2 linked regions of the Drosophila melanogaster genome follow. Changing the gene in region 2 together with the main gene of any one other region gives a genetic interaction. Each region holds a gene or a part of one and is shown on either strand. Other genes may lie near its edges.

Region 1 (4,678 bases), on a different chromosome or scaffold from region 2:
GGTTGGGGCAGATAAATAAGAGTATAATACGGCAGCAGAGGTAGACAATAGTTCACAGACTGCAACTGCGAAATATCACGCGTGATTCATCGGCTGCGGCAGCAGCAACAACGGCAACTGCAACACCCACGCACGCACAAATGCATGTGGAAATGCAAATGCGTTTTTTATGCTTGTTAGAGCAACGCCTGCGTCGCCCGATGGAAATTGTGAACTTTTCTTGTTTATTAAGCCAGCCAAGTCGTAATTATGCAAAGCGGGCCAAGAGCTACAAGTATGCTGCTGATGGAACGAGAGCGAATACTATAACTAATTGTATACAAAGGGGCCACAACAAGTTATTACTAAGGGCTTGCCAAGGATATTTATATCTGGATTAGTGCTCATAAGTTCGCAGAGATTTCGGTCTTAATTATTAATCTTACTACTAAATATTGTTTGGTAGAAATGGTATACAGAAAATTTTAAATTACAAGTCACTTCATTTACGTTGGTGACTAATTAGCAATATGATACCATTTTGCTGGTGAATTTCCCAGCAAAGGCGGCAAGTCAGATTTGATCCGGTAATTTGATTACACAATTGCCAAATATTTGTCAGGACCGAAAAACGACTCAACTGCCATTGTACTTGAACTCCGCACTCGATAAGCGAACCAGCCAAAGTGCAAAACCGCCAACATGCAACCAACAACAACCGGCAATCGACAACTAGCAGCAACACCAAAAATACACAGACAACCGAAATCGCAGTTAGCGGACCGAAATTGCAGACAGAAACACGGTTTGTGGCATTCAAAAGCGATTTGCACCATCAGATCATCGAGATAAGCATTAAGAATCTTTGACAGAAATTGGCTAGCTTTGAGATACAATGCATTTTTCTCCGTTTTAGGGATTAACTTGGCATAGAAGTGCAAAATATAGAAATAAGTAATAATGATCGAAGTCAACAAATTCATGAAATTTTCAACTTTACATTATATACTTTCAATGTCATGAGATTGTCAAGTGGAATATAAAAATCCTATTTAATTTATTATACAATATTTACATGTTACTAAAATAGACCAAGTAATAATATATGCTATATTTTAGAATATCCTCATCCTTGATTAAGTGCTTTGAGAAATAAATGAAACCTTCTCGAAAAGGGTATGTGATTTTCCCTCTGGCATCGGCGGAAACTTTTGCCTTCAGGGTGCCGCTGGCGTCGATCGGCAATCGCTGGATGAAAACCCGACGTGACCCGCTTTCTGGGCCTGCGGCTCAAAGGGCTTCAGCCCTGACAGTAGCACCCACTTTGGTGACTTGGACTCAGATTGGGTTTCAAATTTTTGGCATCTCCGGCTACGACAATTTGGCAATCATTTGCATATCGATGTAGCGATCGGTGCAGCTTTTGCCGGGGAACGTGTTGGCATTTTGCAGAGGCTACATCTGCCACAAAAGCTTCCAACTCAATTAGAAGCCTTAGCGTCGTTTTCATGTTGTTTACCCACAGTTGGGATGCGGCGCATACTGAAAACGAAACTGAAATGCGAGTTCAATGTTTTGATTTTGAAATGGGCTCTGAAAATCCTTGAAAAGTGTCATCGGCCGGCCACAGCAGATTAATTTACAAAATAGTCGAAATTCTTCCGCAATAAAATGTGAAGAAAAACAAAAGCCTGCGGTATGGAGATGATCTATTTATGAGGCGAAATCCACTGCCCGAGACGTGTCTCCTTGCGGCAAAGAGTCAACGCACTTCGCAGCTCATGAATTTTACTACAATTGCCGCTTTACGCACTTTTATCTGAATATCTGTTGCCTGAAATTCTGTTTTCCTCCTTTTCTTTGTGCATTTTAATCTAATTTATTATTGCCGGCGAGGCGGAATTTTTCTTTGCGTAAGTTTTGGACCGATTTTAATGCTCAAGGGGAAAATGCTTGACGTGTTAAGTCTGAAAACTTGTGGTTTCTAATATGTAATGGAATATAAAACATTATTTTTTTTAGCTTATCTCCCACTTAAATGATACATTGTTGAACCCTCGTATCATATATAAATTTATATATTTTCATTAAATTGCTGTCAAATAATTTAAGTTGAACCCCTATGTGACTAAAATAGAAACCATTTTAGTTTAAATAAATTTCTTTGAAAATCTAATTAATACAAAAATCTACTTCTCTTTTGCGACATCTGGCGCTCAGAAAGTATACTAAACAGCACTGTGGCTTGAACTGCTTGCATGGTGGAGGTATTCGCTAGGAGCTGGCAGTACTAAAAGCAGAGAACACAACCGGAAGCGTTATTCCACAAAATGTGGCCTTTTAAATTATATGTGAAAATACGATAAGTACCTTAAAATACCGAAGGCGCGCAGTTTTCAGTATAACAGCTGGCCGAGTAACTGGCCACACCATTCCAATTAGAAAGAAACCTATTTAAGCAAAACGCATCGATCTCTCCGTAATTTTTTGTCCGCTGAGTAATCGGAAATCGGCAACGGAATAATGGGCAATTTCGACGGCGATTCTGGAACGGTTTTCGAGCAGAGCTATGCGACGACCAACGGAAACGGAAAGGTGCCGAATGGCAATGGGGCGGCAGATCTCAGTGCCCCGGAAAAACAGGAACTTCTCCGGAAGTTCTCGGCACCCGCGTACACTGAAATTCGCACGCGACGCTGCCAGCCGAAGCCCGCAAACGACGCCCAGGTGAGCCAGGCATTTTCGCTCAGTGTGCGGGGTGAAACGCGAGTTAAACACTTGGACGAAACGAAAATAACGAGCTAAAAGGCCATAAAAATTGGCCAAAAATGTGGTTCCATAGCTGGTTCCATTCACCCTCTCGCTCGCTCTTCCAGCCGGCGAATTATTGATTTTGTGTGAGAGCGAGGGAGCGCGCATAAGAGAGAGGGAGAGAGAGTGAGAGTGAAGGCGTGCGTCAGCTGGAGAATTTCGGCCCAATTTTTGCTGCCCTTTTTGGCGATTTTCCTCCGCTTTTCCCGCTTCTGGGTCATCGGGCAGCCACAGCTGTTTTCCCTCCACTGCAGTGTTTTCCTCGCGTGTTTTCCTTTTCGCCGCGAGTGCTGACCATTTGGCGTATTTTGGCTACTTCCGGATGATAGAAACTATTAGAACTCTGCGGAAATATCCTATCATCATATACGATCAGAGAGTTATTTCATAAATTGTGATCATGAAAGGCAATTTGTAGTGTTGGAAATTAAAGTATTGGGCAATATTATTTCACTTTCATTATTATAATTTTAAGTAGTCTATACATTCCTCTGAGATAGCTATCTTACAATTGACTAAGCCCTAAGATAAGAACATCAGCATGTTAAAGTAACTTAGATTTCAGAAATTTCATAATACCTATTTTAGATGTGCGTTAAACTGTTTGGTACGCTAGTCCATTTTACCACATGCACTCTCTAATCTAGCCATTGTCTCTTCTTCGGCACTCCTGCACTCATTCGAAATTTTCCTAGTGACTGGAGTACGACCCCAAAGCAAACACACACATAAGTACGTAGTTTGGGTGCACAATGTGTGTGGGGAGAGCGGCACAATGCTGGTCTGGTCATAATATTGTCATGCCACGCCATGCCCGGCTCGCCTTATCAGGCCCATTCCACCAGTCTTTTACGTAAAGCCTCGCAGAATGCGATTCGCTGGTGAATCACAATGCTCCGCAATCTCCGAAGGCAGCGGTTTTGGGTGGGCGTTGATTTGTCGGTGATAAGAGTTTTGTTTTAAAATTCATGGACTCTCCCTGCGTCTGGGCTGCCAAAGAATAACTGTTGGCGGGTATACTTAACCGATTATCATATTTTTTATTATTCATAACTTTTTAAAAAGATAAGATAAACATATTATAACATTACATTCATTGGGTAATTCCGATACAATTCGATCTTTGGGGAGTGAGCAATTGTTAGTTTTCTTTTAAGTACCTAAAGATTTCATTATTGGTAGCTTTGTATTTCTTTTTTTCGGAAAGTAATACAATGGTTTACATAAAATTTATTTAATGAAATAGTTCCGTACCATGGCGACAACTTATTGAAATCATTCAGCTTGATTTAATGGCAACTAAAGACCTTTTCAAATTTTTAATCACACGAAAATAATGTTAGCGCGTGCAAGTCTCATATCTCCAATATCAACGGATAGAAAACTTTTATCAGCTCGGCAAGATTACAGTATGCATGATTTCAAAGGTAAAGGCTTAAATAAAAAAGAAATACTTAAGAATATGAAATTGCCAAAGCAATTATCTACTGACTCACAGCTAATACTTCTTGGAATCCCCACAAAATCGGTTAGAACTTGGCGTGCGCTGGTCGATTGTCAGTCGTTATCTTGGACTCCATGGATCCCCAACATATGGAAGTCATTATCTGGATCCCACACCATGCTCCCTACTTAGCTGTCCTTCTGTACGCGACCCATAGCGTAATTAGTATTACACTTTTTCTATTTATTTATTTATGTCGGTTTCGATTTTGATCTTTCTACGGTAGCTTCGAGCTCGTCTATATACCCTAACACTGGGACTCCATTAAATAACTAGGCATCGCGTAACCCACTTGACTTTTCGCTCCCCGCACTCCGTCTCATCGTATTTAGTAAACAAGCCCGGTGGCAAATGATAATAAACACGAAATATTATTGTCGCCGA
Region 2 (4,678 bases):
GACGGGGATGAGACCTAGAATCAAACTGCTGGCAGCTGGCGGCCTTAGCCATCATCAAGGTCAAAAGCTTGGGCTATTTAGCATACACAAAAATTGTGTATTTTGGCAAACGCATTGTCAACATCTGGAGCTTGGAACTTCCGTTGACCGTTAGAGCCGGCCATATCCAGTTCTGGTTGATCCTGATTGGTGGAACACATATCCTGGCAGCCTGTTGCTTCTTGCAAGGGGTTGAAAGCCTACGATGTGACCTATAAGCATTGGGCTTTTCAACCCCCTGTCATCGTTGAAAAATCACCCTTAGAATTCCTGCCAGCAGATCCTTCGTCGTCGAGCTGCGCAGTTGTTTAGATCATTCGACTTCTGAAGTTGAAACCCACAGCACCGCCAAGAACAATCCACTACCAAAAACCGAATCCTTACCGAATCACTTTTGGATACTACATCGCAAACGAGAGAAAAGGTGAGTGCTTTTGATAGCCATAACACATTTATAATATAGCGACACGAGGTCTGTTCAACTCATCAACATGCATATGTACGGGTACAAACTCCAGATCCACCAAAGTTACATTATAGATACGATTATAATACAAAGATTGTGGCCTCCACGAGAGACTGCTGCAACAAATTTTCAGTGCTTTCGATTTAGTTCAATTCGGTTCACAACAGAGCTAGAAGAGATTGAAGATCGGTGGCCTAGTCCGCCATGTTCACATTGTTCATGCGCATCTTGGCGAAGTCCTCGAATACAATATTATCGTCATCATCCTGGTAATAGCCCTTCACATTGCGGTGCTGCTCGATGGACTTCATTTTCTTCATGGCATTCGAGCGCTTCTTCTCAATGGTTCCTATACCACATCAAAGGAATTACAAACTAGAAGTCAAGTTCAAGTAATCTTCTAAAGCTTACCAGGTGCCGGTTGGAGTAGCTTGAAGGGCACATCCGTCTGCATTTCACCTCCCAGAGTGCCGCAGTTGAGCTTAATGCGCACCGAGTACGAGATGACAATACCACAGGCATCTCCCGTGGACTTGCCCTCCTGCACCATGGTGGATGAAGCCAGGTTGACATCCTCGTCCTTCAAGTGACCATCCAGGGCGATACCTGAGTTCACAATTAAATAATCCATTAGAAACTATCCAGAATCACAACTATCACATCCAAATCCTACCATGGCGATCCTTGTTGTTAGCCGCCAGCGGAATCAAGTAGAAGGTCTTGGTGAGATTGGCGCCCGGAGTGATGGGGCAGCCCTCCTTGGTCTCCAGCTGGGCCACATGCTTGCTGAACTGGGCGTTCACCATGGTGATCTCAGTGTGCTGCACAATGAAGCACTTGATGCTCTTCACGGACTTCTTGGAGTTGTTCGACACCTGGACGGTGGCAGCCGTCTTCTCGCCATGATAGTAGATCTCCCTGTCCAGCGTAACCTCCAGACTGATCTTGCCATTCGAGAAGGTGAATCCCTTGCTGACCAGCGAGCTGGGCAGACGCTGGCCACGATTGAGGGGAGCGTACTGCAGCTTCTTGATCACCAGACTGACCATGCTCCGCTTGTGCTGGCGATCGTCCTCGGAGTCGCCCACAAATGCCCGGATGGTGTACTCGACGCCCAGGGGCTTGCCATTGTCGTCGCCCTCCTGCTGCAGAGTAACGGAGCTGGGCGAATTGGGCGGGAAGTGGAAGGTGAACGGATAGGCGTTGCTGCCCAGTTTGCGGACCAGCTTCTCCTGCATCGGTGTCATCTCCATGTTGGGATTGGTCATGGGCACAATTTGCTCCCGGCACAGGATAAGCTCCTTGGAGAACTTCACTCCCATGACCTCGTCCTCCTCGCGACCATAGCGATAGGTGGTGGCCAGTTGGCCAAAGACTTTCCTGTTCTTTAGATAGTCCGGTTCCACCACAATCACTCCATCGACGGGATCACAGTAGTCGATGTGGTCGATGAAGTCGCGGCGTCCCAGATAAAAGGTGACCTTGCCGTTGGGCGTGGCCTTCTTAAAGACCTTCACGGATACAACCATTGTGGATTAGTGGATTTCTTTGATTCCTGGCAAATGCAACTGGGCAATTCGAGGCTAAGTCGGGCGATGCGCGTTATAGAGTTTTCCGTTCGGCGGAGGAAAATGCGAAACCCAAGTGCCGTACAACCTGCTTATATACCTTTGCCCTGGCCCTGTCCGTGGGTCTTCATTCTGGCCACTAACTGGATTTGCTCGTTATGCACTTGTTTGTTGGCTTGTCCAACACGACAATAAGATAGAACCATAGGAACTAAGGGAAAACTGCAAACAAGCTGCTTCCAGGGGTTGTTCTATTTTCTGCGCAGTTTGCCACTTGCCCGAGCAAATTGGCTAATGTCAAGTATCTTTTTCCGATTTTCCGACCTAGTACGAGGTCATTTGGCCAACTGTTGAATAATTGAGCATGGTAGGTTGGAGCTGGATTAGCATCCGATTTGGTGTTACCGGGTTGTTATCAATCGGCCAGTTTTGTTCTCTCTTAGCCAAACATCAGTGGGCAGCAAGGAGAAACCTTAGATGTTTTTAATTTTGTTATGTATCAAACGTCGATATATTGATTTTAATGTGAGAGGTATAATTGAAATTGGCATTTCTTACAACTAGCTTACCAAAGGTCGCAATTCATTGTAGTTAATGTTAGATAATATTTAAGGTCCAGAGAAATTGGTATTATTTTGAATCTCTCCTTTTTTTTTCTTTGCAGTTGAGATCTAGAACCAAGATGCAGACACAGACACACACCACCACAGACCGACATGGCTATAGCCTGCGCTTTTCGCCTTTCGAGGCTAACTACTTGCTGCTAGCTACAAGGTGAGATCAATCTTAAGCTCTAAAACCAACAATATACTAATAGAAAACCATTTTTTTTCGATACCCAGCCAACTGTACGGTCTTGCTGGAGGTGGTTCCCTCTTTCTGCTGGAACAGAACTCCAACACAAATTCCTCATCCACAGATGGCCAGAGTCTCGGAGAGCTGTGCCGCCTAGAGTGGTCCGATGGATTGTTCGACGTCGCCTGGTGTCCGTATGCCGCCGATATCGCCGCCACTGCCTCCGGAGATGGATCGCTTCAGATCTGGTGCGGATTGGATGGCGAATCGGCGAGCAACCAGCTGACGCCGAAACAGCCGCTGATCTGCCTGCAGGAGCACAAGAACGAGGTGTACAGCCTGGACTGGGGCGAGAAGTGGAACTACCACACGCTGCTCTCGGGCAGCTGGGATTGTACACTGAAATTGTGGGACTGCAACAGACAGAACTCCATCACCACATTTGTGGGCCACAACGATCTGATCTACGGGGCCAAGTTCTCGCCCCTGATCGCCAATCTGTTTGCAAGCGTAAGTACCGATGGACATCTTAACTTATGGAACTCTCTTGACTTTGCAGGTAAACCCCTGATGAGCATCGAGGCGCATGCGAGTGAGGCACTATGCTGCGACTGGTCGCACTTCGATCGCAATGTCCTGGTCACTGGAGGTTCGGACGGTCTGATCCGCGGCTGGGATCTGCGCAAGATGAGGACGCACGTCTTTGAGCTGTACTCTGGAGAATTCGCTGTCCGGCGATTGGCCTGTTCACCGCACTCGGCAGCGGTCTTGGCATCGGCCAATTATGATTTTACCACAAGGTAAGTGGAATGATCTTAGGCTTTCAAAAAACAGGACATTTTTATGGTTAGTAACAACTGTCCACTTTTGTCACCTTTTTAGGATTTGGAATCTGGAGCGTGGTGAGTCCGCCCAGGAGGTCAATGCGCGGCACACGGAGTTCGTGTGCGGATTGGATTGGAATCCCCACAGGACCCATCAGTTGGCCGACTGTGGCTGGGACTCGTTGGCCAACGTTTATACCCCGCAGTGTCTGAGCGGTGATCTGGTCGTCTAGGTTAGTACAGGGCATGCCCAAAACTGGAAACTGGAACTGGTACTCCCTAAATACCGAAAACACATGTGATAAGGCGCTAGTGGCGTCGAAATAGCCAGGCCTACAAGCGGTGCACCGTTATTACGATAGCTGAGCTATATGCAATGCCTATAAGGAACTGTAAGGAACCGAAGACAAGGACTCATCGGCGCAACGATGACGTGTAAATAGCTGTGTGATAAACGCTGAACGGGCTAAAACCTCAAGCAGGTGCTTCAAAATGTCAATAAAAGCTTACATATATCACGAGTATTATATGAATTATATGGGTTTTCTGCGCTGCTCTGTATGTTATTATGGCCTTCGCAATAAGTTTCTTGGCCCCTGGCTATAATTTGCACTCGGCCCTTGTCTTAACAAGAATTTAACGGATCACGGAATTGGAGTTCGAATTGGTTAGGTGGCAAAGAGCCAGCCAGACGCTGACGGAGATTGACTTGGCATCCTTATCCGGTTGGCTTAACTCTGACCAAACAAACACGCAATAAAGCGCTAATTTGCTGCAACGTTTTATTGCCCGAGTGGAGCCGAAATCCCTGTCATTCCCGGAATTGACACAGCCAACAAGGTGGATATTGCCCAAAGGTGTGCCAGCCATCGCACCTTTTCGGCATGGCATGGTGTGAAATGGCAGCAGTTGCTCCCTGCGAACTCAGATCACAGATCCCAGATCCTGGCACCCCGATCCCGTCATTATCAACAGACTGCGCTTTA

What was found. A genetic interaction does not mean that the proteins touch.
Region 1: of Arr2 (region 2) and lace, changing one suppresses a phenotype caused by changing the other (phenotypic suppression), as found in Drosophila melanogaster (one study listed by BioGRID).

Annotation. Positions count from the first base shown.
Region 1 is NT_033779.5:15,496,719-15,501,396, forward strand, and holds the start of lace (lace), read left to right. Parts: upstream 1-2,408; 5' UTR 2,409-2,502; coding exon 2,503-2,706; intron 2,707-4,678.
Region 2 is NT_037436.4:8,646,792-8,651,469, forward strand, and holds Arr2 (arrestin 2), read right to left. Parts: upstream 2,146-4,678; 5' UTR 2,035-2,145; coding exon 1,179-2,034; intron 1,112-1,178; coding exon 917-1,111; intron 855-916; coding exon 700-854; 3' UTR 470-699; downstream 1-469. Other genes in the region: Pex7 (peroxin 7), read left to right, coding at 2,756-2,847, 2,916-3,668, 3,751-3,925. UniProt on the Drosophila melanogaster protein: Regulates photoreceptor cell deactivation. Arr1 and Arr2 proteins are mediators of rhodopsin inactivation and are essential for the termination of the phototransduction cascade.